4 linked regions of the Rhinolophus ferrumequinum genome follow. The protein of the gene in region 3 interacts with the protein of the main gene of each other region in a pairwise test. Links are inferred from orthologs where the notes say so. Each region holds a gene or a part of one and is shown on either strand. Other genes may lie near its edges.

Region 1 (6,849 bases), on a different chromosome or scaffold from region 3:
TGGCCACAGTAAGTCCGATTATCCTCAAACTCTTAATTGTCAATACCATTTATATTTCATTTTGACATCTTTTCTGTCTACAGTTAGGAATCATTCCTTCCTTCTTCTACTCTTAAAATAGTAGGTCCTTACTGTGAGCCAGATACCATGCCGGGTTCCGGGGATGTGAACATAAAGAACTCCTGGATTTGGGCCTCTAAGTCATCCTGTTTTCTCAACAGGATGATGACTCTTTGAAGGCAAACCCTTATTTCTTTACTTGGACTCTCAGAATCACAGGTTTAGAATCAAAAGGAGCCTTAGAAGAAATATCCATACCAACCCCCCATACTCCAAGCTCTCCCAATGTAAGCTTCCCCCACCTACCATTACTCAAGACGGTGAAATGACCACAATTATTTACCTCCTCCCTCCTAAGACTCCATTTAAACAACACCCAGGCACTACTGTACTACGTGCCAGGCACTACTGTACATATTTAACATATGTGACATAGAACATATGTGCCTCATTATAGCCCTAAAGAGTCAGGTGATATTATCCCCATCTTTCCAAAGAGGGAACAGAAAAGTTCTCCTGATTTATCAAACTTTAACCTGATAAATTAGGTCTTTCCCAAATTTTTCAAAAGTATGTGCCATATATTCTAGAAGTAATTTTGGAAGATCTCAGTATGTAATTCACAGTATCTTTGTTGGCAGAGAGTAGTTGTATTATAGTCACACTCGTATCAATGATGACAGTATGTAAACGTTGTGGGTCCTGTCGACCACATATGTGAACATTTCTGGGTGAAATATGGCTTCTTAGCTGACTCAGTAGGCTAGATGATAAATGCCACAAACAATACAGAGCTGTTGATTTTTACCCCAAATTAACAGAAATGGGAAGATAGCAGGCAGACACTATAGTCAAGCAGTAAAAACTCAACTACTGATAAATTAAGTACTTCAGGGTGAAACATCTAAAAAATTCACCTTGAATGGGCACGGGTGGAGAAGCGTCAGGTACCCTATCTTCCCTTTATCTTTGTACTGTTCAGTATTCAGATGCAATTTGCTTTAATGAAAGTTCACTGTGTCCTCTGTCCATCTTGGTTGGTTCCATTTAGGATCTGTTTTAAGTATTTGGGATCTGTTTCAAATATTTAAAATGTTTAGCAAGATAAAAATGTTTGAATTGCGTTTTATAAGGAATTAGTGAACCACAATCAAAGGTGACCGCCGTGTGCTGCTGAGACTGGGAGTTCTGGCTCCAGCATCATCTGGTTTGTTGTAGTAGGTGCTTTGTCTATTTTCATGTCTCCACACGAGCCAATAAAAATTCAGGAAGTCCGTGCCTCCCATCCAGACTGATTTTGTGCTTTTGCTCAGTGAAAAACCATAGGAGACAGAACTTCAGGAGAATTCCTTTTCATACCGTTTAATGTCACCCTGACTTGTAATTAGTGAAGATAAAGTTAAGAGGCCCCAATGTGTCCTTAGTCTCCTGAGACTTCTGAAGTTGTTCATTTCTCTAATATTCTCTTTAAAAAGGAAGGAAGGAAGGAAGGAAGGAAGGAAGGAAGGAAGGAAGGAAGGAAGGAAGGAAGGAAGGAAAGAAAGAAGGAAGGAAGGAAAAAAGGAAGAAAGTCACTGACATTGAGAAAAGTCCTGTGTCCTCAGTTGGCTTGATTTCATTTGCTTCCACTTCAAAGACAAGCCTTTGATGGCTGAGTGTCTTTTTCTGATCGTCTTCGTTACTGTTCTGTTGGAAAATATCTGTATTGGTAGAAACAGATAAACTATTGGAAATTATAATTATGCCTGGGATATTGACTTTTCTGATTATCATTAGTTGATATTTTGACTTCCTGGATAGAATAATAAGTGTAAAATTCCAGCCTATGAAAGGACATTCAGAAAGGAAATGTAAAGCTCTGTAAACTTTGGGGCAATACTTGTTTATTTGCAGTGTCTCAGAGGAATTATCTGTGAATCTTACACTATAAAATTTTAAGTCTGGAAATTTCTCTTTTCACATGCTATTTTGGGGGTTGTTTACCACCAGTGTTCAAATAACACAATGTCATTTCCCAAGAAATATATTTTTATGAGATTTCATTTACAATGTAATGATTTTATATATTACTTTTAAAAATATTTGAATATTAAAATTAGAACTCGCCTTGTTTCAAACTTGGAATTTGCTCTGTATAATATTCAGTTATGAAATAATAATAGCAAACCATGGGCTGGGAGTTGAATGGCTGACATCAAACCTTCACTCGGCCAATAATTGGCCAAATCACTTGTCCTCTTTGGGCTTCTGTTTCCTCTCCGGTAAAATGATGGTGCCATAATTCTCAGGGTATTCTTTAAGGTCTCAAAATTCTGTGACTCTGTGACACTCCGGGACTCTATGTGTCCTTTCAGGTCTGCTGGGAAATCGGCATTCTTTAAAAGGTAATTTTAGGAACAATGAAACCATCAGAGACATTTTTTAAAAAGCTTACTATACGTTTATTTGAGTTAGTTAATTGAATTTTAAACACCTCATCTTCTAAAAATTACAGTATGGGCACTTATTGCAAGTCACTGTCTGTCAGGTGGCACCTCACTCTGCCTGCCTCTTCGATGCATTTGCAGAACTGGGTAATACTTCCAGAGTAGTATTTCCATGTGCAGAAACTCGGCTCTTCTGTAATTTTCCTGAGTAAAATGACAGCTGTAGTAGTTGGTGGTCCAGTTCCTACAACAGTCCTGAAAAGCATTTGCTTTCATCTAGTAACTGGCTACCATGGTGGTAACAGATGACTTTTAAACAGCTGTCACAAGCGGAAAACAAAACAAAATTAAAAAGCCATCCTCCCACACTATATACAGAAATCTTGCCAATAGCTGAAGCAAATCCTTCTGGGAGCATTTTAACAAGCAAACTTTTTTTTTATTTTTATTTTTTTTATTGTTGCTACAATTCAATAGAAACTCATAAAACTCAGACAAGCTAGCTTCATGTTTCCCACAGACTTGAAGTGCCTAAATTTTCTAATGGGATCATAGCAATTAGTGGTTTCCAGATACATTTAAAATGTGTTAAGTTCCTGCAGGAATTGGCTTTTAAAACATATACAGGTCCTCAAATGCTTCAATCTACTATAAGCCCCATGAGGTACTATGATGTCTGTGTAATATCTGACCATAATTTGGTGCTTAAGTTGCAATTAATATTAAATAGAAAAAAATGGGAAATGAAAAAATTCTGTCCAACAGTTGTTTTTTTGTTTTTGTCTTTGTTTTAAATGGTCACATTACATTCACTTGTTATCTTGGGAATCATGGAAATAATCACTAACTCCTATTGGACACAAAGTAGGAATGAAAGCTCCAGGTGTCCTGGAGAACTCATTCCTGGACTCGGCTAATTGAATTGCAAACATGTCAGTCTGACAGCATTAACAGTTTATGACTTGTATGTTGGAATGTCCCCCTTTCTTTCCCTCACTCCTGGACAATTTCTCCCTGTCACGAGATGCTTCCTAAATTGAAAGACTGAGTCTCTATGTTTACACCTAGGGTTTTACTTTTGATTGAAACTAGGCAGAAGGCAAGTTTATGGTCTATCTTTTCATAACCGGCAAGTGCTGAAAACAAGACATGAGAATAAAAACATGGCTTTTGACGAAAATGCGTTAAACAGGTGGTTTTCTCTTCCAGTGACTGACATAGTTATCTTCCCTGGAGACACATCCAAGCCTCATGTCCTTTATATTTTTTTCTTTTAGATTCCACGTGAATGACTCATAAACAAACACGAAAACACGAAAAGGAACTGGTAATGTTCACCAACCAGCCTGAAGACTCTGAAAGGTAATAACGATGTTTTATTTAGAGGACGTAGGCCTCTAATAGTAATTCGAGTGCTTCTGCTTTCAGACAAAGATGATGAGTCTATTGAGAGTAGACAAGAATGTGTCTGATAGAACCATACAGAAAGATAAGAAAAAGACACTGGCTAACAGTGTGATTGTTGGAACACATTTTCTTTCATTACTTTCATTGCTATTGCTAGTTGAACAGGTTTTCACTGCCATCCAAGGGGCAAGGATTATGGTGGGTTATGAAGGTTTTCGATTTTTAAAGTATTTAGTAAGTTTCCCTTGACAAATTTGGCCCTTAAGGTAATTTATCTTGAATAGCACAAATTTTCTCCTAGGAAATAACTCGATTTCATTAATAAGGTGAAGAGGTAGCTATATCTTCTCTCCTGACTTACTTACTCCTTAGCTCAGGTATAGGGTGAGAAATTCACTAAGTCCCTTATCAAAAAATCCCTTCCTTGGCCTTTTATGGCTTTTTCTCAAGCCTCGCTCTATTCATTGACCCATATAGTTATTTCTTTAACTTCTTATTTGTCACCTGTTATGCGTAAGCTGCTTACAGAACATGAATCCAGTATGTCCTAGCTGCTTGCAGTTGAGACGTGACACACACGCACACACCTAAGTATAATATATGTTGAATGATTTGCCTCATCAAAGAGCTACTGAGGAAGGTGAAACTCTGAGCTATGAGCATAAAGACATGCATGAAGAAGGAGTCATTGATTTAATTTCTGGCAATAAAGCGGGGAGGAGAGGACATGAAAAAAACAGAAGGAAAGAGTATTGTAGGCTGAAGGCAGAGGGTGTACAAAAATGTCACGCCAGGAAAGGCGAGGACTTGTGCTGGGGCCAGTGAGCGGTCCAGTGTGGCCTCCACATCTGGCACGTAATACCAACACATCTAAAGTGAGAGACGAAGTAGCTGAGAACTTATTCGATAGGCCAATGTTCTCTGTCTAAGACAAAACTTCTTTTAGGCAAATGATAATTAAAAGAAAATAAGACTCAGGTTCTTACGTCAGTGTTTCTCAAACTAGGGTTCTCTTAACCTGTGGGTCTGGAAACATGTTCTCAGGGTTCTTGGTCTGTCAAAATCTTCATTAAAAGGGGCCTATGTGTACTTCCAAACACGAGAATCATGACTGGGCACAAGGGCAGCCACTGAGACCTGTGAACAAGGGACTGACAATAGGCTCAACAGGAAACAGGGTTTCCCTGAGAAGGAGGAAGACTAGAAGCTTGAATAAACATAGAGACGCTGCTTTCTGCCATGCCTCCCAACCAGTGACAGTCAGTATGTGTAACATGCATTTTAGTCTTTAGTTATATAAATTTAGCATTTTATTGTGCATTTATTTTTTATGATTCTATAATTGTGCTGTGTGTGTAAGTCGTGTCTCTCTGATAAGATTTTATCTACGTCAAGGGAAAGAACTCAGCACACAACATATAACCCACTTTAACAGTAGGTTTACAATAAGAATTGGTGTATTCCATATACATTTTTATAAAATGTAAGTAATATATAGATTGACATCACAGGAGTAGTCTGAAGATTAGCTGACTCTATTGACAACCTCTAAGATACTATGGATGTGACAATAGAAGCATAGAAGACAACATATGATGTTGAATAATTTCTAGGAAAGATGGTATCTCATTCTCAGAGGTCCATATTGGGCACATATATGCAGTTTAAAAAAGAAACAATGAAAGAGGAGAAAGGAAGGAAAGAGGAGGAGGGAAGAAGGAAGGCAAACCCTCTGTTTCTGTGTTTTGAAGATACATATATCCTTAGCTTTTCCTTAGGTATAGTCATTCTGCAAAGAGGTAGGAGTTCCCCTCACTCCCACCCCTTCCACACACACCATTTTTGTTCCATGTGGAGAACTGTAAGGACTGTGAGCTCCCAAGTCCTCCGTTCTCTGGCCTTCCCTCCTCAGCAAAGCATGTTCATGTTTAGATTCTCTCCTTCTACCAATGATGACAATTACACAGAATTTAGTGGTTATTTTTCCCAGAGTACTAAAATTTTTGTATTTCTGAGAGAAAGAAAGAAAGAAAGGTAGGTCCTTTGACAGTAATTTAAAATGCTCAGGAGATGGTTTTCAGGATAAACTTTAAGGTGTATGTAACGTGGGGTCCAGAAAGATAGTGGATAGAGAGATACTGCAGTTCATGTCTTTGTCCCAAAGGAGGTGAGAAAGAAAGAAGAAGGAAGTGAGAGGCAGCCAGTCAGGAACAAGAGAGTGAGTGTGGTCACCCCTCTTTCTCTCTTGACCACGATCCCTTTTCATTTAGGTTCTGAGGGATAAAAACCGATCGCCATCACTAGTATACTGATTTATATATTGTATGATGGTTGTCATCCCAAGCTTCTTTTCAAAGTAAAAGAGTAAAGCAAACAACATTGATTCCAGTGGGGCCTTATCAAAGTAAACACGGTATTTTTGTGGCTTTCATATTCTCCTTTAACAGGATCACACAGCACATTGTTTTAAAAGCAGCCCCACTCCACATAGTCTGATCTGGGGTCGTCCTTCTCTACAAGTCCTCTTCTACTGCCAGCTCTCATTTTAATTTTTTTAAAGCACGTCTCCCTGCCCTAACATTACATTTTAAGAGACCTAAGTATTTTTCAGAAATGAATTATGTGTTCAGAAAGTTACAATGATAACCTAGCAAGGAAAGCGATTATGATTTATTATAGCCTCAAGTAGAGGGAATCTCAGAAACATCAAATGAATGTTAAGTTCTCATGCCGGGCCCCTTTAACCTGGCGTCGACGTCATGCACGTTAGCATTCATTCAACCTGTGTACTGAACACGGTCGCTACAATCTTCATTATTCATTATTCATTGTCTTCTGGGAACAGTGTACTGGTTGCTACGCACGTAAGGAGCTCCCGTGTCTTTCCCCGTATTCAAAGCATTCAAATGTCTTTATACACAACATTGGTGTACTTTAAGAAAATTAAACAATAGTT
Region 2 (7,543 bases), on a different chromosome or scaffold from region 3:
CAGGCTGGGGGTGGGTGACCTGTTCCCTCTCCCCTTCCCTGTTTACTTGGGGCCATGCAGGTGCTAAGGCGCCCAGCCCCACCCAGACAGGGAGGTGGCCTGTGTGTGTGGGTCCCTCACCCTCTCCGGTGAGCAGGGTGGGCTCCAGCAGCTCTGACATGTACTCGGCCTCCAACAGCAGCTCGGGAAGGTCACACTGGGCCAGGACCAGGCTCAGCAGTGGGAGAAACTCGTCGGCCCCCGCACCCTCTCCTGTGGGGTGGTGTAATAGACAAGGAAGCTTCAGACTCCTGGGGGCTCCAGGGTCAGAGTCCACTCCTTGTCTTAGACAGTGACCCTCCCCTCCACCTGCCAAGCCTTGGGCAATATGGTCTCTATGGCAACCACGAGCAGGGGCTGAGGGGAAGATGCTCTCCAGTCTGGGCCTCAGTGTCACCATCTGTAGGATGGGAGGGTGGGACCCATCTTTTTCCCCTGCTGGGCCTTTCCTGAACTCTCTGCCTGGGGGGCCTGCCTCCGAGGGCAGGGAGCAGTGGGTGGGGGCATACCCCAGTGGGTCCTCAGGGCTGTGTAGAGCAGCTTGCAGGCCTGCAGCAGCCACTTGACCTGGGCACTGGGTGAGTAGGCGTGGAGCAGCTGGAGCAGCTTCTGGCGTACCGGCTCCACCTCTACCGGGGAGGGCAGGTTCCAGTGGGACCCGAAGGCTCCGGGACCTTGGGCCCGGGCCAGGCGGAGGCCTTCAGCCAGACGGCCCAGAGAGCCGTCGGCAGAAAGCCGGCACCTCAGACGGGCCACCAGGATGGGCCGGAGAGGCTTGAGTACCGAGCGATGCAGTGACTTCTCCAGGACGTGTTCTGTGGAGCAGAGGCAGGCAGAGGTCAGAGGAAGGGAGTGGGGCCTGGCAGAGTCCCAGGGAGAAGGGGCATAGTCGGGGAGAGAGGGATGAAAGGGGGTTGGAATCCTGGTGAGACAGGAGACAGGCTGGCACTGTGGAGAGGAGGAGAGAGTGAAGTGGGTGAGAAGAGCTGGGATTATGGAGACAGGGCTGAAGCATTGGAGGCCGGGCTGGAGTCTCACCCAGCCTATTGGGTGGCAGCAGCTTCTCAGGGCCCAGCTCCGCGCTCAGCATGGCTCGGGCCAGGCTCAGGGCCTCACGGACACCCTGCAGCTCCTGGGGCTCGGGGCCGGCCCTCACCTGGGTCAGTAGGTCCTGCACTAGCTGGCCCACGGCCGTGTGGCGGTCCTGCATGAGTGCACTGGCTGCCCGGCCCACCAGCCGCTCAGGCGCCAGCAGAGAGCAGAAGGCAGTGCTCACAGACCGGAGCAAAGGCCGCCGGCGGCGGCCCTGGCGGGGTGAGGTCGCTGTACTCCCCTGGGGCCTCTGCAGCCCCTCCTCCTCTGAGCTGCTAGGGGAGCCACAGTCCACCTCCTGGAGGGAGGGCAGGGGCGGGAGGCTGGGGCTGGCACCCCCTGGCACACGGTACCCCACTGAGCTCTCCCTCTGCAGCAGCTGGCGAGGGGGCAACGTTTCTGTCTGGTTGGGGGCTGCTCCTGGCAGCACTGGGACAGGGGGAGGAGGCACAGCAGGTGGAGACAGGGGACTGGAGGTCTCTGTGGACACGCGCACTTTTAAACTCCTCTTGAATTTCTCCCGCTTGGTGGGGCCCAGGTCCCCCGGGAACAGGGGATTGAAGAAGCACAGGGCGGCTCCAGTGCCCTGGTCCAGCTCTTGTGGGGACCGGGGCTTCAGCCGGGGCAGCAGTGGGCCTTCGGACGGGCCCGGCAGAGCCTTGGTGTTGAGGGAGGAGCTCCAGAACTCTAGAGAAGAGAAACCAAATAGGGCCTCAGGGAGATTGGGGGTTGCCCAACTGAGCGCGAGGCACAGGGGCAGACTATGCCCAAGTACCGTCCCTTTCCCCCTGGGCATCAGAGTGCCCGTTTATGCCCTGGAGAGCAGGGGAGCCCTTACCAATGCCCAGATGGGAGATGGCTTCCAGCTCCTTCTGGGTGGCTGCCTGGCGGATAGCTCTGGGGAGCTGCAGCTGGAGGAGAAGGATGTCCCTGAGGCCAGAGAGGGGACAGAAAGTCAGGCGTGAGGGATGCTTGGGGCTCCGGGGGCTGAGATGGGCTGCAGGGGCAGGAAGGACAGGGAGTGGACACCAGGCGCCTGTGGGCAGGCTCACCGGGTGTGGCAGTAGGAGCATATGAGCTGGACCAGGTCCGGGAAGACGAGCTCAGATCCCTCCAAGGAGATTCCTGCGAGATGGAAAGTGAAGTCGTTGTCTGGGGAATCCGCGTGCCCTGCCATGACTGCTTCCAGCCCCTTCCCTCCAGGCCAGTCCCTCTCACCCCCAGGGCTTTCCTGGATATAGTGGCTGGAGACGAAGGAGGGGCCGCTGGCCTCGGGCAGCCGCACGCACAGAGCTTGGCACTGGCGCGTGTTAGACCTCCGCACCAGGAATGTCTGCGAATGGACAGGGTCGGAGGCTCAGGTCCAGCCCCTCTCCCTCCCACCCTCTGAAGGCCAACGTCCAGGGGGTAGGGGCAAGACTCACCCCTGGGGGTTCCGTCCTCAGCACATGCAGTGCGGCGGCCGCGTTGGCCCGCAGCTGCAGCCACACGGGCCGTGTGAGCAGCAAGCGCTCCCGCAGGCTCACCGTGCGCGCTGGCCGCTGGGGCCCACCTGTCTGCCCCCCGCTGGCATCGGGCACATCGTACAGCGGGTCCTGTGCTGGCCTGGGGGCAGGCACCGGCCTGAGTCGGGGGCCAGGAGCTGGGACCCTTGCCCAACCTTTCCCCTTCCTCTGCTCCAGGATACACCCTGCGCGGCAGTCCCTCCCTTCCCCAGCAGGCTGCCTTTCGAACTTCACTAACTTTTCTCTCTCCAGGTGCCCAGGTGCGAAGTTGGATGGGCTGGGGGCTCCAAGAGGGCCTGCTCCTGGCTCCCCAGGGGTTTCCATGGCGGGGAGCTCCTTCGGTTTCTCCTGGGACTCAGAAAGACAAGCCAGCCCCCAAGGCAAGAGCGCTCACATCTCACATTCCCGGTGGTGAGTAACACTTCCTGAGGGCGGCACACCCTGTCACACCCCGCCAGTTAACTCTTCTGTGTCCACTCGGCCTGGGCAGTGCCTGCTTCCTGTCCTGGGCCCAGCCTTAGGGGGCAGGGATCTCCCCATGCAAGTACCACTCTGAGAAGCCCAAGCGGTGGGGCTGCTGCCTCCACAGGTCTTCCCACAGCCTTGCCAGTCACCTCACAACACAGGTGGGAGGGAAGGAAGGGGTTACATAGGGCCGGCTCCTCCCCACAGGCCCAAGCCTCTCCTCTGGGGCACCTTTAAGCCTGCGGTCAATTGCTCAACTGCCCAGGCCTTGGGGGTCACCCTTGTGAGAGCATGCCCCCTACTGGTCACAGATGACTCATTCCTAAACCTAACTTAGATTTTGGGATTTCAGGTTGCCATGGAGAAAAGATGCTGTGTCTCCATGGAAACTAACCTCTTTGCTTAACTGAGGTTCTGGGGGTGGTTCTAACACTCAGCACTAAATGGGAGGGAGTCTGGCTGCGAGGTGTCAGCACATGGCACTGCTGCCGGCTGCCTCCCACGCACATAGGCCCTGCCAGCCTGCCTTGCCAATCTGCCGAGCGACTGGGGCAGGTGCAGACATGACCCAGTCTCTAAGCACTGAGCACCAGCTCCCTTCCCCATTTGAGGCCATGTGTTTTGCCTGTGCCACGTTGCTTCAGACTTTGTTCACCAGCACTAGGTAGTCCAGGGCCGAGCCCCCACCGCTGGGCGAGTGATAGGAGAGCCTCCCCCAGCCCCCGGCCTATATCCCAAGTCAGAGTGGGTAGGCTCCTGCTAGGGAGTAAGAGGAGGTACCACAGATTCCAGAAGAGACTGCCTGTCTCAGGCACCCTCCATGGGAGCCCTGATTCCCTTGCAAGGTAAATCAGACACATGTGGGTCACGCGAGAGTCCCAAGAAAGGTTTTAATTCCAGTCCCCACAATCTGGGAGGCAGGTACCAAGGACCGCCTTGAGAAGACCTGGGGAGACTGCCTTCTCACCACTGGCAACAGCCAGGACAGACAGGCCTCCAGAATGTAATTTCTGGCTCAGAGTTCCCGTGAAGCAGGCCCAACTCACTGGCTCGGTGACTGGGGAGCCGGTCCAAGGTCAGCAGGAAGGATGTGCTTTGGCTGAAGACAAGGCATATCTTCTTTGTCAGGGAGGGGACCAAGGAGGCTGACGTTCAGGGGGGAGGCAGGGGGCTGGTCTGGGAGGGAGGAGACAGCCCAGCCTGGCTAGGGCCGCCTATAGCTGGACAGGCCCCGAGGAGGGGCCGAGGAGGCTAGGTCCGTGCCGGCTGGAGGGGAGGGCGCAGCAGCGGACTGGAGGGCCGACTGGGCAGACCCCGAGGGGCTTGTCAGTCTGCCTTTCTGCAGCAGGAAAATGCAAATCCTGGGTTTGGTGCCAGTTGCTCCGAGGGGCCCCTTGGCTGTGAACAGCAGGGTCACGGTCCTGGGGGATGTGGGAAGGGAAAACCATTGCAGGTGAGAAGCGGCTGAAACAAGAGGGAGGCAGCTCCTTCATAAGGGAGACTGAAGAGTGGCGTTGGTGTGACCCAGGGAAGCTCCGCAGCCCTCAGCTGTGAGCCCATCACCACTCTGGGCCCACTAGCCCCCTCCCCCCCCCCCGCAGGGGCTTAGTATTCCAGCCCTCCCTGACCAATCCTGGCAGGAGGCTTCATTCCCTAGACCCTTCAGCTTAGAACTCCCCACCCACCCTGGTTCTTGCTCCCCAAACTCACACAGTGCCCTCAAACCCAGACCATCTGAACTCGCAGGCCACCGATCTGACATGGCCACCGTCTCTACCTGGGCTCCTTTCTTGGAGGCTGGGCTGGGGGAGGGGGTAGTGAGGGTAGAACAACCCCTGTGGTTCTTACCATCTGATTTTCTCTTCTGAGGGGACGCAGCTGCCCTAGCCTGGATGGGAGAGAAGAAAAGGCCCTCTGAGAGCCTACCTCCCACTTGGCAGGTCCCGGTCCTCGTCAGCGTCTCTGGGGTAGGAGCTGCGGGGCTAGTGCGGCACCAACAGGGGCGGGGAGCATAAAACACTTTCCAAAGCTCTGACGTGGCCTCCTGCCAGAGGCCCAGCCAGCCCAGCTGCTTTCCCACCTTCCCTTCTTCCCTACTCCCACCTCATCAACACCTGCCCTAGAACAGGAAAGGGGCTGACACAGACTAGAAGTTCTCTCCTCCAGGGCAGCCTTGGGTAAAAGGAGATTTGTGAGCTGACAGCAATGCCAGAAAAGCTGGGCTGAAGGCAGCGGGCACCATGGGCTGAGCAAAGAGCTCCCCAGGCCCTCAAAAGCCCACGTGGAGAGCCTGCAGAGACCAAAGCTGCTGTCACGGTGGGAGCTGCACTGCCAGGCCCTTCCCTGAGACAGGGTGGGGGAAGCGTGCAGCAGCGGACCCACCTTTTTGATAGCCGTCCAGTCCTCTAGGATATCGATTTCCTGTAGCATGTACACGATGTAAGGGCCTGCAATAGGGGTTAAGGAAGCAGGAAGCCCAGTGGAGGGGGCGGGAGACGGCCTCTGCCCCGGGAGCTCCAATACTCACGATAGGTGGTGCCATGGACCCTGGAGCGGAGCTGAGGTCACAGGTTGGAGCTCAAGGTCCACCTCCTACCTCTCGGCCCCCAGATCCTCTGAGAGGTCGGTGTGGCTATGGCCTGTGTCACCAAGTCCAGCAGGGGTGCGGGGGCGGGGAGGGCACTGAGCCTCACCCCTGCCTCTCCCACCTTGATTCCCCCTCACCACCTCTCTCCAGTCTCAAGGTCAGTAGGCCAAGGCCCATTCCACCCGCTCAGGGACCTTGCTCCTTCTAGTGTCTGTCCCCTGAACTGTCCCCTTATCTGGCCCCTTTCCCCGTATCGACACACACGTTCCAGTCTCTTCCATCCTGAAAACCCTCCTTTGGTCTCACACTCCCCTCTGGGGACCATCCGCTCTGCTCTCCTGTGCTCTGTGCCTGGTGTCTCTACACCCTCATCCCCCATTCACCCCTCAAGTCCATGCAGCACGATTCCGCCCTCCTTGAATCTGAGCCCCGTCGCCAGGCGGGGGGATTCACCTCAGCTTTGTGTTCGGCTGTGCCCGAGGAATGAAGGCACAGCAGGCCCTGGACTGAAGGGGCTCACGCCTAAGGTGGGGCAGAGGCCACTGCTCCCCACAGATGTGGGTGCCCCAGTTTAAGTCACAGGCGTGCAGAGGAGAGAGAAGCCATAGCCATTGGGGGAAGATCAGGAGAGGCTTCATGGAGGAGGTGGCGTCCAACAGGCACAGACAGGCAGAAGGCACTCCAAGAGGGTGGAAAGGCATGGGGGTGGGGAGGCCCGGGACAGGCCTGTGACACTGTGGGAAAGCCAGAGGGCCTCAGGGATTTCTCTCAGGAAGTTATGGGGAGTCACTAAATGGATGTTCCTATTTTTCCATGACCCACACAACCCAGGACAGATCCAGGACCTCACAAAAAATTCCTGAGGGGGATGGGAGGCCCAGCTTGGCCAGGGACCCCAGTGCCCAGAAATGGGGGCCGGGGCACGGGCAAGGCAGGGATGAGAGAGGGGTCTGGGTTTGCCCAGGCATGGCCACGTGAGGCCAAGTGACCATAAATGTGTCTAGTCTGATTCTGTCTTCTGTGTCCCCTCCACCGCGCCACTCCCCGGTCTGGCGCTGACCTTGCCATCCTGCCCAGCTTAGGCCCCGTGGGGTGGAAGGATACCAGAAACGAGGGGTGCCTTCTTCCTCTTGCTGGGTGGCAGGGTGTCCCAGGTCTTTGAGCTGCCTCTGGCGTGCAGTTTGTCATCCCACCACTCTGTGACCCCAGACCCAGAGTCAGGATTGGGGTGCTGGTCCTCCCAAAACACCCCCACCCTTGGAGCCTGTGTTCCTCACATAAGCCAGGCCAGTCTTTCCTCATCAACCACCTCCCAGGACAGCGGAGAGAACCCTGGGCTTGGGTGCTGAAAGCTGAGTTCAGGTCTCAACTGCACCACTGTGCAACCTGGGAAAGAAGTCACTGTACTTTTGTAAACCTCGATCTCTTCATTTGTTTAGTGGACAGGGGGATGATAATTCCTGCCTCCCCAGGGCCCCCAAAGAATGGCAGACACTATGGACATGGAGGGGACTGTGGCTGTGGTATGTGTGGGAGTGTCAGAATGACACATCTCCTGTTCTAAAAAGAGAGCAGGGGCAAAGGAGGGCAAGGGGGCCCTCTCCCTGAGCCCCTACTGTGTGCCAGGCACTGGCTCGGCCCTTTCTTTGCCTGGTTTCATTCAGTCTCTATAGCCACCCCTCTTGCTATCCCCTTGTCCAGGCAGAGACGCGAAGGTCCAGGCCGCGGCTGGGCACTAACGGGGCCAGGCCTGGGGCAGGGGTGCCGGGGCTGGCGTCTTGCCTCACCTGAGCTAATGTCCAGGCTCTGGCGGTCCTCCTCCAGCCTCTGGATCCGCTCCTGCAGCTCCCCCTGC
Region 3 (7,313 bases):
GAAGCTGGGGACACCCCCAGGTCGCCTCCCCGCCCCGGCCCCCCTCACCTCCACCGCGCTGCTCCATGCTCAGCCCCGGGCCGCCCCCCGCGCTCCACCGGCGAGCCGCCCGGCTCCAGCCCGCGCGGCCACTCGGAGCGGCCCGGCCGGACCCGGCCCCGCCTCCGCGGCGCCCCTCGCGGGGCAGACCCCGCCCGGCCCAAGTGGGCGGTGCAGCGCGGGGGAGGGGTCCCAGGGGCGTCCCCGCCCCCGGGGCGCGGGCACGCGCAAGCACCCCGCGTCACGCGTGTCCCGCGGGGCGCACGCTGGCGCTGCACAGCCGGACTCAGGATCCCTCCCTCCCAGGCCGGTGGCTGTGTGTCTGCGGAGTTCGGTCGGCTCAGGACTCGGTGGCGGCAGCAGGTCACCCTCTACTCCAACCGGGGCCCCGGGGCCAGTGGCGGCTGGTCATTGTTGGAGCACAAAGGGCCTGGCGCCGTGGCGGCCGCCCTACCCCCTCCGTTCTTCTAGTTGAAGCCTCCCTCACAGACACTCTCCGGCTTCGGAGTCCAGAGTGGGAGGCCGAAGGCCAGCTGCCATTCACTCTAGCCCGCGGCCCGGGCCCAGAGCCCGCTCCCCCCCAGCACACGTCAGGGGCCAAGGCTCGGTCCGTGCTTGCCCCACCCCCAGCGTCTTGGAGGCCGCACACTTGGATTTGCGGAGGCGGCGCCACCTGGCGGCGGATTCGGAGAACACGCCCAGTTACCCCCCAAATCCCGACCTCGAGCGGGGAGTCCTACCTGACTCCCCAGCGCTGTATCCCCCTCCTCCTGGAGCCCAGGGCTGCAGCAGGCGCGGCCCTGTGCTCCCCGACCTTCCCTCAGTGTCATTTGATAAAAGAGGATATTGCTCAGAGATGAAGGCCCTGGCCCCTCAACAATCACTGGGGTGAGCCTGTCCAAATCTACAATCCAAACCTACTGCAGCCTCACAGCAGACAACATTCCACTGTCTTCTCAGGGACACGAATATTCTCACCCTCTGGCAAACACAACCTTAACACCCACACGACCTTTCCCACATTCAGTTTCACACAGCCACAATCAGTCTCATCCATCACGTGGTTCCATGTTCCTTCTTTCCATCTTTCAAGCCAACAACTTACAGAGAGAGACACAACACACTCGGTGTCACACGCCTAGTTGTGCATACTTTCACAACTCACAGTCCTTCACACGCAGTCACAATATTAATAAACACACTTAGTCTAAGCATGTTTCACACATTGACAGTCTTATTCACACACAACTTTTTACACATACACATATTGCTCAAACATTCTACCATACAGACTTTCCGTGGGGGTTTATGTGAACTGGTCAGGTCGGCTGATGGAGCACCCCTGGGCAAGGACAGCCACCCGCCCCCTAACCCCCGCCCAGGCCTGCCAGAGCTCCTCTGCCCAGGGAAGGAGCATCCCCCCCTTCCAGGCCACAGCCCTGGCCGGCTCTCAGCTCTATTTTTAGCTCTATGGAAAGGGTTGTTTTTCTTTCTTTCTCCCTGGAAAGGGAAACATAGCCCAGCCACCCTCAGGCTCACCCCGTTTCAAACCCTCAGCCTCACAACAACAGACGGAGCCCCTCTCTCCGGTAGAGAGAGACCCCTCTTCTGGCCTTGCCCTGATCCCAGCCTCCTGGGGCACTAGGAGCCTCCTCCCCTTTCTGGCAAACTGCCCAGAAGCTCGGGCAGCAGCTGGGCTCAACGTGTGTGTGTGTGTGTGTGTGTGTGTGTGTGTGTGTGTGTGTGCGCGCGCGTGTGCGCGCGCGCGCGCGCGCGCAGAAGTGGGGGGTGGGGAGGGGAGGGAGGCCGAGGGCCGCTGCCCACTCCCTTACTAGTGAGGTGGGATGAGGGGATGGGGTTCGTCCTCCTTTCTACCGGAGGGGCATAGGCCCAGTCTGGTACTGAAAAGGAGGTCCTGAATTCTCTTGGGGTGGAGGACTCCCACTCTTGCATGAGTGCGTTTTCTGCTCCTACCTTGGGGGGGGAGGAGCTCCTAGTTCTGCAAGGAGGGGTGGTATTAGCAAGGAGAACGACAGGCGCTCATGTAGCTACGGTTGCTGCTCCCCAGGCCGGAGGAATGGGGTAGGAGCTGCCGTCCACTGCTATCAAGAATAGCGCCCCCCTCTGATACCTTCAGGGATGGGGAACCACGAATGTGTTCAGGAGAAGGGCGAGGACACCAGGTAACCCCACCCCAGTCCAACAGTCTCCGGTACGCCGGTGCTACCCCATTCCAGGGGGCGTTGTGCTCCCATTTCTGGGGGAGGGCTTATCACCTCTCGAAGCGGAGAATGGAATACAGCCCCCTGTGGGACCTCGCAAACTCGCCCTGGACTAGCAAGGGAGGTCTTCGCCCTGAGGCCGGGGTGGGGGAAGCACAACCCACCCGTCTGCGAAGCGATCCGGGGCTCGGCGCCTGTTTGCATATTAGTCCTCACCTGCCGGCGGCGGGGAAGCAGGAACAGCCCGCGGTGTCTCGCCCGCCTCGCCCCTGTCTGCACTTTTCTCCCGCCCCTGTCAAGCGCCGTGCCCGCTGGGGGTCTGCGCCAGCCAGTGGCGCTGCTCCACGGGCTACAAGAGTAACTCACTGGGCGCGTCCTTTCCTGGGTGCACGTGTGTTTGTGTGTCCCAAGTGCGTGAGTGGGTGTGTGTGCACGCGTGTGTGGGCCCGTCGGTGTGAATTTCCGCGTCGGTCCCCTGTTCAGGGACCCCCCCCCACTCCCATCCTAACCCCCAGTTTCGCCAGACCGCAAAGTTTAATCCGGAGCGGAGTTGTGCGGGAGGCGGGAGTTCCTACACCTTTGCGCCCCCACTACTCACCCAGCACCACCTGCGCCGCTGCTTCAGCTCCTGCCTGGCTCCTCCTGCTCCAGTGCGGGCACCTCCTCGATGCAGATCCGCCGGCTCCCAAGCCCGCTTCGGGCTCCGGACTCGCAGCGCCCGCCAGGCCCGGCCTGGTGGAGAGGGGCGGGGCCGCTGAGGCCGCGCCCCCAACCGAGGGAAAGGAGTGGTCTGCTCAGCACCCACTCAACGGCCAAGCCGGTACCAAACCCCGCAGTAGCTCCACGGTGACCCGAGGCTGCCCTCTGGTCTCTGACTTCACAGCTTACAGGATCTGGCTTTCGACCTGGGGAAGGGGCGAGCGGCACGTGACCGACAGCTAAGCTACCCACCTGGCTGCCCTAACCAAGCTGGCTATAAGACTTTTTCTGCCACCTCCCCTGCTCTGGAGGGAGCCAAACCTGGTCCACTCTCAGCCCACTCCCCAGACGCCGGGAAAACCCCTGGGAAGCAGACAAAGAAGGCTCGGGTTTCACCAAAACAGACCCGCCCCTCTGTCCCCTCCTCCCTCCCACCCCGGCTCCGCGTGCCCCCACACCTCACTCTCCCCTGAAGTAGTGTCTGCCAGGTGAGCAGACCTACCAGTTCTGGCCCCCCACAGAGCATGGCCTGGCTTCCCTTAGACTCATAAAGTTCCACCCACAGGCACAAACAGGAAGTAGGCCTGCATTGCAGGGAGGCACCTAGAGCTCCCTCCCTCCAAGAAACGCAAGGCAGCATATGATGTCTACAGGTATCTGGGCCGTATTTACAGCCGGAGTACTTGGGCAGCATAAGTCCAGTGAATTTAGTTCCTTCTCAAACCCAACCGCAGTAAAGAAGCTACTGGAGGACCAAAGCAGCCCTCACAGCTGAATCTGAGATCCAGCTGGCCCCTGCTTGGCCAGGCCCTTCCTGAGCTCTCAGGGAGATTCTTAACATGCAGTTGGACGTAAGCAGAGTACTTTGCCTCAATCCACTTTGGCAATGTCCAGGGTCAGTGGCTCCCAGGGCCCTTACACAGGACTCAGGGATCCCTCATTGCTTTCTAGGTTCCAGGTACTCCTGAACACATTTTGGGCTCATCTTGATGTGAATAAAGACAGGTGTGGAGTGGAATGTATTTGTATAGGGCGTAGGGCAGGGGGAGCATTAACTTCCCCTCCCCCCATCATTCTGGTTTATATTGTGTGGGGTGTCTGCTAGGAGGATGGGGCAAGACAAACAGGCAAGTGTGTATCTATCCCTCTATCCCCAATTCACAGACACCTCACAAAGTTCCCTTAATGGAAACCCCTAAAGGATTTCCTGAGAACACACAAAACATTCTAGGAAGACGAGAATGTGGAACCCACGTCTTTATAGGTTAGGACTGACCTAGTGGTGTGCATCTGGAAGGCATGGCTGACGTTCAATGTTACAGACCCTGGATGAGGCTTAGACCAGCCAGCGGCTGGGAATGATTATTGCGGGGATTAGGAGGCCTGGCTCCAGCCAGTCTGGGAGAGACCCCCAAGAAGGGAGGCCCTCCAGGAGCTTTCCCCTCCCTTCCCCCAGGTTCTCCCCCCAAACAGCTTAGCTCCAGGTCTGTTTCAGGAGCCAATTGTAGTCAAGGTTCTCACACATAAAAGACAGCGACCCCAGACCCTTCTGCAGGGTCCTAGAAACCCCTCTTGGGTTGACGGGGAGATCTTGATAAGGCAGCCTTGCTTCCAAGGAGCAGGGAACCAACCGCCACCCTTACAAAAGGCTTCTCCCTAGGCCCCTCTTGCATTCTTACCACTCTTGCAGGCAAATCTAAAGGGAAACTGGGATTTTAGGATATTAGAGGAAGTGAGATGAAAGTCTCATCATCTAGGAATATTTCCGACAGGGTCTCTGTGTAACTTATTTTCTCATCTCCCTCAGGACTTGTTGAAAACGAGGAATCCTATGTCTCTCCTTGAACCTCCAGAATTCGAAATCTGTGAGGATTGGGGCAAATTGGGCCTATGTTCTTCTTTTTAAAACAAGAGTCCTAGGAGTTCTGACACACACTAACATAAGAGAAACACTGAGGGTACAGGAGGAGGGAAGTGGACGGGGGCCAGGTAAGAATATGCTAAGCCTGAGTCCACATTGCAAGAGGTCAGTTCGTGGCTTATTATCACAGAGGGACAGCTTGTCAGGCTGAGCTTAGGTAAGTGGCCAGGTGACTCACATCTCTGCCAGAGATCACATGGAGATCCTCAAGGAAAACAGGGATAAAGAGACACCATCATGTCTTCCCCTGGCCAAGAAGAGGTGTCAAGGGTGTGTGCATGTAAAGGCCCTTTAATGCTCTTGCTTCCTTGGGAGCGGAGCTCAAAGACTGGGGTGGGGGAGGGGACCTATCCCAATTCAGAGGAAAATCGTTATAGACTGGGGAGACACCTGGTGGACAAATAAGAAACAGCACAGAAACAAAAGCAATGGAAAATTTATTTTAGTAAAACTTCAAAAGGCTCTACAAAAAATTATGACTGCATCCACTGCAGCGGTCTGAGGCAGCATACCATACAATGTGTCCAGGTGGCAGGCACGCTAGGTTCACAGCTTCTTTCCATGGCTCTCTGGCCAAGCTTCCACCTTTGGGGCCCTAATATTACAGGGCTAAGCACCTAGGATCCAATGGTAGTGAGTGCCACCACACAGCAGGCTCGACTGGAGCGGAGGAGTTTGGTACCTACCATGTCGCCCTTCGGCTCGGAAAGCCTATGCTGGAATTTTGGCCAGAAGTCCCCTATTCTCCTCCAGGTTCAGGGGGCCTGACCCCACTACTCTGAACTCAACTTGCTCATTCCCACCTCAGGGCCTCTGTATTTACCTTTCCTTCCGCCTAGATCCCTCTTTCTCCAGATGTTCACGTGGCTCAATACTAGTTCTTTAGGCCCGGGCTCAAATGTCCTCTGCTCAGAGACAACTTTTCAGACCTTAATCTAAACTAGCCTGTAAGTACTATCCCATGACTATTTTATTTTTTGAATAGCATTTTTCATTATCTAAAAGTGTGTTTTGTATTTATTTGTTCATTAGCTTACTTGTCCCCACACCAAATTTTAAGTTCCATGGAAGCAGGGACCTCATCTGTCTTGTCAGTGCTATATTCCTAGGACCTAGAACAAAACCTGGCACACAGTAGGTTCTCAAATATTTGCTAAATTGAATTCTCTCACTATGGGACCCTGCCCTAGGCTAGGTCCCTCAGACTGAGAAGAGCCCGTAGCTCAGGACCACAGGACAGAGGCAGCCCTAGCAGAGGGCCAATAAAGAGTCTATGCCCCAGCCTGTCCTGTCAGGCTTATTTCAGTGTCCAGCTCTGTACTGCCTTCACCTTGAAGGCTTAGAGGGGTCTGGCTGGTAGGGGTTGGGGGCCTTGCTCGAGTAAGTCTCAGAGTTCTGGGACACAGCACCCTTTTTGCTAGAAGAGGGCTTTTTAACCACTAGCCCATTGTCATCCTTGATCTTCTTGAGCCGGGCCTTGCTCTTTGGTGGTATGGAGAAGGTTAGAGAGCTCTTGTTGAACTCAAGCGGGAAGACACCTACGTCTCCATCAAAGCGGTTCTTGGCCACCTGTAGATACCGTTTGCCTGGTCCAGTTACCAGCTTCCTGTCCTGCAGGATCAGAACATTGTCTGCTTCCTGGCTTGCCTGAGGGATGGGGGCAGAGGACAAAGGAGCAGTGAGAAGACATATGAGAGAAGCAGAAAGAAAGGTTGAGGGTGCAGGGAGAAGTGGCAAGAATGAGGAAAGTACTTCCCCCCCTTCATCAAAGCTCTTTGAACTACTGACCACGATGCTTGAGGCCACGTGAGTTTTTCAGTTCCATAACGACCTTGCTGCTGTCCCAGATTTTGTATCTGCTGTTCCCTCTGCTTGTAACACTTCTCCACAACTCACCACCCTACTCAACGCCAGCGTCTTATCATTGAGGTCTTGGTTTAAATGTCATACTTCACTAGAGAGACCATTCTTGATCCCCATAAATAAAGAAGGTACCACCATCTTTCCACTTCTGTGTTATTCTCTTCCCCAGCTCCATGTTTGTTCCATTGTGGCACATAGTTTGTGCTCCTCGCCCTGTATTCCCTGTGCCCAGCCCAGGCCTGGCATGTAATAGGCATTCAGTGTACCATGGGGAGCTCTAGGATCGGGCTGGTCCTGCTGCTCAGAAGGCATCCCATTTATTTGATTATTTCACACCTACTGTCAGCCAAGACTAAACCCAACCTTTGCTGACACCTCCTCTAGGAAGCCTCCCCAGATGTCCCAGGCTGACTCAGATGTCTTTTCTCTTTGCTCCCCAAATACCTGTGCTGCCTATCATAACTTTTATCACACTGAGTTGTAATCACTCTCCCACTGTCTCCCCACCAGAGGATGTGAGCTCCTGGAGGGTGAGGAGGGCAAAGGACCAGCTATTATCAGACTTTGTA
Region 4 (7,326 bases), on a different chromosome or scaffold from region 3:
AAGGTCTATGACAAAGAGATCTCTTTAACTCGGGTTACTGGAACATTTCCCAAATTTTTGACTAAAGAACTCCCCTCCTGGTTCCCTTTAAAACATCACATCCATTCACTGTCCACAGACCACTGTGAGGAAGGAGAAACCTAGGGAGTCATCTTTGATTCTTCACACCTGAATCCTACCTGGCAGTAAGGCTTGCCACTTGTCCTCATCAATACGTCTCCCGCTGTCACCTGCCTTAGATCGGACTCACACACCCCACCGCTGCCATCCCTTTCCTTGGGCTCTCTCCTGCCAGCCTCCCTAGTCCCATCCACCCTGCACACCTCTACCACACGCCTGTAGCTCTAGTTTCACAATACGGCCCACCGCCTTGAGGGACAACAGGGTAGATGGTTTAGAGTCAGGTTCTTAGACTTAGGAGTATGACAGATGTGACTTCTGGGGTCTAGTCTGCCACTTACTAGCTGCATGATCTTGAGCAAGCCACCTAACCCGAGTCTCAGTTCCTCATCTAAAGAATGGTGATTTTAGTTGTAATGCACTCATTGGTGGTTGGGAAGAACAAATGAAATAATGCACCGTGAAGTGTAAACACGGTGCCTGGCCTTTGGTAAGCACTGAGAAAGGCCACGCGTTCCTCAATGCCCAAGACCTGCCTCCTTCACAGAGGCTTCCTGAGCCTCTCTGCTCTCCCCTGCAGTGACCCTCTGCAGCTGCAATCCTGCCAGTTTACCACTTGACTGCTCCATAAATGCTTCCTCTGAGGATGTTGGTTTTATAAGCTCCCAAAGCCCAAAGGCCAAGTCTGTTAATCACCCCTTTCTTATGCGGCCTCCACGCATGCATGCACCTCTCTGTTGTGTTCACCTGCTCTTCTTTCTACTCACTAGACCCCACACTCAAGTGCAGAAGCCTCACTTGCACACCTATCATCTGAATCTTATCTGGCACCCAATAGGCACTCAGCCAGTGCTTGATGGATAACAGACTCAGACCCCCAACCAGGGGGAGCAGGCACCATGCTGTTGAACCTTGCCAAGAGAACGTGTTATGGAAACAGCAAGGGTCAAACTGATCCAAAAACCTTTCTGATGGTAGAGTTCTTCATCAAATTCCACACCAACAGGCCCTTGGCTAGAAACTGGCTGTTGTCCTCCATCTCTCTCTCTCTTTCAACAACATGGCAGAATGTATTAGGTTGGTGCAAAAGTAACTGCGGTTTTCGCAATTATTTTTAACCTTTTAAACCGCAATTACTTTTGCACCAACCTAATAACTAGTCCTTTATGGAAGCTCTCTTGTCCCCTCCTGCTGCAGAGTATGGGGCATGCACCAAGTTCTAGGTCAAATACCCCAGGGCTTGAGCCCCACCTCTGCCCCTCACTCCTCTTGGGTTAAACTGAAGTGGCTTAATAATTACTAACTCACAGGATTCACTGAAGTGATTATATAACCTACATTCAATGGCTGGCACATAGTAGGCACTCAGTGAATGTTAGTCCTGCCAAGTTCCCTCCTGCACTATCCTTAAGTTAAAATAGGAGGTAGGGCCAGAGAAGAGTTGCTCTGATATGCTGAATAACAGTGAAATATTGACATCGTGTGTTACAGGACAGTAGTTCTCAATCAGAGACAATTCTGTGTCCCTCAGGGTCATTTGGCAATTTCTGGAGACATTTTTTGATTGTCATGACATAGGGAGGAGGGAGGTGTTACTGGCATCTAGTGGATAGAGACCAGGGAGGCTGCCAAACATCCTACAGTGCACAGGACACCCTGATCGCCACCAAATAATTATGTATCCCAAAGTGTTAGGAGTGTGAGGTCGAGAAACCCCGTTTAAGGTAAGAGAAGTCAGAAGTCTTGACCATTGGTCCAAACGGGCCTCACCACTGCCTGAGAAACCCTGCTCTCTAGACTCAAGCATCAAAACCCAAGCAGGAGGCAGCCATGTCCTCCTGCCTCTGACCTTCTTCCCCAAGTACACATACAAACCTTCCAATGCCGGTAGACAGGATGGCAGTGGAGGTCTTCAGTTCCTCGTAGAGATCAGCGCCATTGAAGGGAAAAGCTGAGAATTGGGCGAGCAGTACCCGCCTCAGCGCAACCAGGGCCTGCCGGAGGGGCGGGGACAACTCAGGACGAGCCCAGGGGCACTTCAACCCAAAGCGGACCAAGAGTACTCAGCAACCAAGAGTACTCAGCCACGAGCAATGACCAGCCAAGGGAGGGGGCATCCCAGGGTCTCCTACGCCCCACCCCACCCCCCCCATCAATCTCTCGGAACCCTTCACTCCCTGGGCTCAGGGATGAACATGTAGAAACACCCCGGTTTGGAAAGTGTAGTTCGTCAGCTCACCTTATAAGACAAGCCACATTTCTGGGCTACCTCCTCCAGGTCTGCGGAAACCAGGTCCACCACTGAAAACAAAACAAGTGTGGATGATTGGCAGGAAGGGCGGGGCTTCCCGCACTTGGCTTTTCCTCATCTGTGAAATGGGGTGACAGTGTTACCTTAGGGCAGACCATCATCTCAGGAGGCCTACGGGAACTACCAGAGCCACAGGACCTGACGCGGTGCCCAGCACACAGTAGGAGCCTGCCTGGGGTTTGGGGTGCCCACTCCCTCCCTCCGAGCCTCTCCAGAAGGGTGGGGGGCACAGGAAGGCGGAGCTATCCCCCTCCCGGGTATGTCAGGGCGGTGGGGGTGGCATCCGCGGTGTGCCCAGCTGTGTGGGGCGCACACGCGGTCACCTGTCTTGATCCCGCGGCTCCTCAGAAGCTGGATCATGTCCTGGGTAAGGCCTGGGCACAGTCCGGCCCTGAGCATGCCCATGTTCCCTGGGGACCCCGGGCCGCTATTCCCGTGGACATCAGCGGGGCCCTTTCTAGACGCCTCCCGGCGCCTCTTTCTGGAGGGGCCCCGGGCCCGCGGGGACGAAAGGAAGCGGCGGCGCGGAGAGTGCGGACCCTGCCGGGTCTCCCTTGCCCAGGGCCCGCCCTCCCGGGCCGCAGGGCCGCTTCCGGCTTCCAGGCTCCAGGGCCGGACCGATAGCGCCATCTGCTGGCTGCGAGGGACGGACGAGCGGCTTCCTGCGAGCCTCGGTTCTAAACGCTGGGCCAGGAAGCTCGACAAGGCTAGCCATCCCTATGCACAGGGGACCTGCTTGTTAGTGAGGGCAAGACAGTGAAGAGAAATCAAATCAATTAAATAGTATGGGGGCAGCCGGTTTGCTCAGTGGTTAGAGCGCAGTGCTCATAACACCAAGGTCGCCAGTTGCATTCCCACATGGGCCAGTGAGCTGCGCCCTCCACAACTAGATTGAAAAAACGACGATTTGACTTGGAGCTCATGGGTCCTGGAAAAACACACTGTTCCCCAATATTCCCTAATAAAAATTTTTTTAAAAAGTTAAATATTACAGATTATATCATTGGTGCTAAGAGGCAACGGAACACACAGAAAACACCTGCTTCTCTGTACTTTCCATTTTTTAATGAATAACAGCAAAAACCCTGAGTATATAGAACACAAAAAATAGGATTTGTTATTTTTAAATGTCCTTTGCTTTGTCTCATCCTGGAAGAAACAAAACAACCTTACAGGGTTATCTTCTCATAATCCAATGAGGCAGGTGCTATGTTTATCCCTATTTCGCAGATGAGGAAACTGAGGCTCAGGGAGGTAAAGTCATATCTCAAAGACTACAGAGCTTGTAAGGGCAGAGCTGGATTTAGCACAGACAAATCCACATCTAAGTGCAAAGCCAATGCTCTTCTCTTCTTATCCCCGAAGTTGTATGTTTTCCTACTGTACAGTGGTGTCCTTGAGAACAGAAATAATGTCTGGCCCATCTTTGTTTCCCTCTGCAGCACTCCCAACTGTCGCTCAACATACGAAGCACTTGGGGTGAGGGTGTGGCATGTTTAGAAGTCTAGCCATGAAACCTGGGTATATGTGAGCTATGAACTCCATGAACTTATGGGCTTTCCCTTTGCCTATATGACTGAACATAGTGAGGCTGTGCTGCCTAGAATTTTGGATAGAGAGCCTCAGTGTTCTACAAAGTCTCGTACTCCCAGAGACCCATTCCAGCGCTGCCTCCCTCCGTGCCCAGGTGTCTTTCTCCCACCATCCTTCTCCTCCTTCCCAGGGCAGCACCAAAAGGTACAGGTGGTAAACATTTTGAGATCTTCAGAGGACAGAGTTGCTGTAACCACAGAGCATTTGCGCTGGAAGGGTGATGGAGTCTGTTCCTTAGCTCTACCCCACTCTAGATCCTGGCCCTGGGCAGCAGCAGCCTCAGATCAAGGGAGAGGCTTGCCCCTAATTGTTATGCTCTGTGATGTTTATGAAGTCAGCTCATTGCACCCCCATCCCACCCAAATTAGGGTGGGTCCGCTGCCCCCAGTTTCTCTCTGCCTCCTGTCAGCTTGGTTGTCCTGTACGGTGACAGCTGTGGTCCCAAACAAACTAGATGGCATCAGAGGTGCTCTGTAAAGTGGGAGATGGGGAGGAGACCATGCTGAAAAAGGAAACCCTCAATGTTTCGAGTGTGCTTGATCAAAAGTCGAAGCCCTTTCCAAACCCCAAGTCTATGAACAGGACGGTTGCTACCAAAGGACTCCCACTTTCCTCAAGAGGCAGTTTGGTTAACTTCTTGGAGGAAGATACCATCAATCTACCGTAAGACAAAAGTCTGGTCCTTTTCTCCTTTCTTAGGCCAGGGCTGAGGGGTGGGGAAGGGCTTGAAGAAGCGGTACTTTCTGGACCTGTCACAACCCAGGTCCTGAGCTCCCAGGGAAGAGCATGTGTGCAGGATGCACCATGGATTCCGGACCCCAAATCACTTCTTGGAGGCATGTGGGCCTGCAGTTCCAGGAGGCCTTTCGGGATTAGTTAGAGATTTGTTAACAGTGCTTCTCGTCTACTTTGTCTAGTTAAGGTCTTTTTCCCACACCCCCAGCCACCCACAGACACCCCTGCTCCATTCTACTCCCCTAAGACTCCTCTTCTCAATCCTCCCTTCTGGTGCCTTCTGCTGCCTGATTATATCCCCCCAATAGTCTGCCTGCTTTTGGACTGAGGTTTATGTTCCTCCTCAGTAATTCTGGGTTCCATTTACTTCATTCCAAAAAACTCTTTGAGCTCCTGCAAGGTGTCTAGCCCAGGGTTAAGTTCTGGGAAGGCAGAGCTGAAAAGAACAGTCCCTGCCTTTAAAGAGCTCCCAGCCTGGGGTATGTGTGTTGGGAAGGTGCCAGGAAAGAATTGCGAATAAAGCAACTAGGAAAGGACACTGAGGCACCAGAGGGGGGTTAGTATAGCTTGGAGGGGGGTTCAGTTAGGGAAGGCTTCCTGGAAGAGGTGACATGTGAGCTGAATCTCCTAGGAAGGGAAGCAGTGAGCCAGTGAAGGGGTGGTGGTGCAGGTTGATGGAGGCTGAGGGAGTTATCTGCAGGGCATTTTCATGGGCGTGTGACCTGTGTAGTCATACACAACCCCACACTTAGAAGGGCCCAGTGCTTAACTTCAATGCTCCGCTGTCACTGTCTTGAAATTCTTAATAATTTTTGAAGAAGGGGACCCACAAACTATGTAGCTCGTCTTGATTATAGAAAAGGGATGTAGTGTCCCTTCCCCCTAATGGACCTGTAAGTAAGCGGGTATGGCTAAAGTCATGGATGTTTATAGGAAACTTCATGGTATAGTAGGAAAGTCTAGGGCTATGAGGCCACGTTCAAATCCACGTTCTACCATTTAGATCTATGGCTGTAGACTGAAGGTCATTAATTTGCAAAATGGGGCTACCACCCATCTAGTAGGGCTGCTGTAAAGATCAGAATAGAATATGTCCAGCATGTAGCCTACTTCTTCCCTGCCTTCCATGCCCACTTCTGCACTGGTGTTTTGAATAAGGAAATCTAAAATAGAGGTTCATTAGGACAATCTGAAGTATAAATGGCATTAATACTCAGACTCTTCGGCGTATAAGAGACCTTAGTGAGGGAATCATCTGTTCCAAATGTCCACCAAAGGCTAGCATAGGAGCTTTGAGTTGATCAGGATATTTTTAGGAGGAGGCCGACGGGGCTGGAGCTCAGGGAGGAAAAATTTGGCCCATCAACCAACCATGAAGCCTGTGGCTGGTCTGGAGTAAGGGATCCAGGGGTGTGTGGTGGTTGCTGGACTTGGCCAGAGCAGCTGGGGGAGATGGGGTAGGAAGCAGAGGAGAAGAGCCAGGGACAGATGGGAGCTACATAGCAATGGGACAGGCCTGGGACCCCGGAGACCTGGGTTTTAGTTCAAACTCTGTCATCAATTCACTGTGTGACCTTGACTGCCCTCTCTAGACAAGTGCTCTTCAAACTGTGGGTTGTGACCCATTAGTGAGTCAGGAACTCATTCTAGTTGGTAGAGACCAATATTTTAAAAATGAAATAAAACAGATCAAAAATTCCAGGGCCTATCACGCATAAAGTACTGGTTTGTGCAGTTGTGTTTTAGTTGTATGTATATGTATGAGTATACTACATTGCCATGTAATGTGTATTTCTTTGAGTCAAGATAAAAAAAAGATTTGAAAGCCAATTTTTGGGGGATTTTGCACTTCATCAGTAATAAAAAAAAAAATTAAGTAGTGGGCAAACATGTGGAAGGTTTGTCTTTGTAACAGTAAAGAATTGGTAACAATACAAATATCCCTGTAATGGAAAACCACACAAAAATCAAAATGACTGAGTCAGAGCTACATGTATAATACAGATAGATCTAAAAAGCACAATGTTGAGTGAAAAAGCAAGCTACCATCGATATGTACACAATGTGATCATTTATTTGTGTAAAGTTTAAAAATATGCAAAATAGGCCTTGCTTAGGGATAACATACATATGTAACAAACCCATAAAGACATATGGGGAATAATAAACACAAAATTTTAAATTTACTGGTTAGCTCTTAGAGGGAGTATGAGGACGGAGGTGGGGAGAGACACGTCCGGGGCCTTAACTATCTTGATGAGGCTTTAGTTCTGAAGCTGGATGATGGCTAAATAAAAGCTTAATAATATTAGGTTGATGCAAAAGTAATTGCGGTTTTTGCAATTATGTTTAACCTTTTAAACCGCTATTACTTTTGTACCAACCTAATATATTATTCTTGATATCTTTGGATATGTCTAAAATAGTTCATAATTTTAAGAAATTAGAAGAAAAGTTTGAGAATTCACCCCAGTATATGTATATTTATAATAATTTTACGGCTATATATTTTACATGTTAAATGCTAAGTAAATGAATTAGTAATTGCATTACATATTAAACAATAA

Evidence for each region.
Region 1: the proteins of LZTS2 (region 3) and TNIP3 interact in binary tests that used the Homo sapiens proteins (3 or more experiments, as listed by UniProt). The two-hybrid records come from large-scale screens. The link is inferred for Rhinolophus ferrumequinum from reciprocal best matches to the Homo sapiens genes LZTS2 and TNIP3.
Region 2: the proteins of LZTS2 (region 3) and RIN1 interact in binary tests that used the Homo sapiens proteins (3 or more experiments, as listed by UniProt). The two-hybrid records come from large-scale screens. The link is inferred for Rhinolophus ferrumequinum from reciprocal best matches to the Homo sapiens genes LZTS2 and RIN1.
Region 4: the proteins of LZTS2 (region 3) and RAD51D interact in binary tests that used the Homo sapiens proteins (3 or more experiments, as listed by UniProt). The two-hybrid records come from large-scale screens. The link is inferred for Rhinolophus ferrumequinum from reciprocal best matches to the Homo sapiens genes LZTS2 and RAD51D.

The regions. Positions count from the first base shown.
Region 1 is NC_046301.1:4,321,772-4,328,620, reverse strand, and holds the start of TNIP3 (TNFAIP3-interacting protein 3), read left to right. Parts: upstream 1-3,829; 5' UTR 3,830-3,848; intron 3,849-6,849. UniProt on the Homo sapiens protein: Binds to zinc finger protein TNFAIP3 and inhibits NF-kappa-B activation induced by tumor necrosis factor, Toll-like receptor 4 (TLR4), interleukin-1 and 12-O-tetradecanoylphorbol-13-acetate.
Region 2 is NC_046294.1:5,594,268-5,601,810, reverse strand, and holds the start of RIN1 (ras and Rab interactor 1), read right to left. Parts: upstream 3,011-7,543; 5' UTR 2,961-3,010; coding exon 2,875-2,960; intron 2,737-2,874; coding exon 2,556-2,736; intron 2,465-2,555; coding exon 2,350-2,464; intron 2,257-2,349; coding exon 2,184-2,256; intron 2,062-2,183; coding exon 1,970-2,061; intron 1,819-1,969; coding exon 1,078-1,818; intron 855-1,077; coding exon 549-854; intron 253-548; coding exon 121-252; intron 1-120. Other genes in the region: BRMS1 (breast cancer metastasis-suppressor 1), read right to left, coding at 4,515-4,522, 4,950-4,989, 5,484-5,548, 6,793-6,885, 7,476-7,543. UniProt on the Homo sapiens protein: Ras effector protein, which may serve as an inhibitory modulator of neuronal plasticity in aversive memory formation. Can affect Ras signaling at different levels. First, by competing with RAF1 protein for binding to activated Ras.
Region 3 is NC_046299.1:23,693,838-23,701,150, forward strand, and holds the start of LZTS2 (leucine zipper putative tumor suppressor 2), read right to left. Parts: upstream 3,013-7,313; 5' UTR 2,860-3,012; intron 170-2,859; exon of another isoform or gene 49-169; intron 1-48. Other genes in the region: TWNK (twinkle mtDNA helicase), read right to left, coding at 6,208-6,528. UniProt on the Homo sapiens protein: Negative regulator of katanin-mediated microtubule severing and release from the centrosome. Required for central spindle formation and the completion of cytokinesis.
Region 4 is NC_046304.1:23,035,408-23,042,733, forward strand, and holds the start of RAD51D (DNA repair protein RAD51 homolog 4), read right to left. Parts: upstream 3,016-7,326; 5' UTR 2,837-3,015; coding exon 2,755-2,836; intron 2,422-2,754; coding exon 2,360-2,421; intron 2,115-2,359; coding exon 1,996-2,114; intron 1-1,995. Other genes in the region: FNDC8 (fibronectin type III domain-containing protein 8), read left to right, coding at 4,479-4,687. UniProt on the Homo sapiens protein: Involved in the homologous recombination repair (HRR) pathway of double-stranded DNA breaks arising during DNA replication or induced by DNA-damaging agents. Bind to single-stranded DNA (ssDNA) and has DNA-dependent ATPase activity.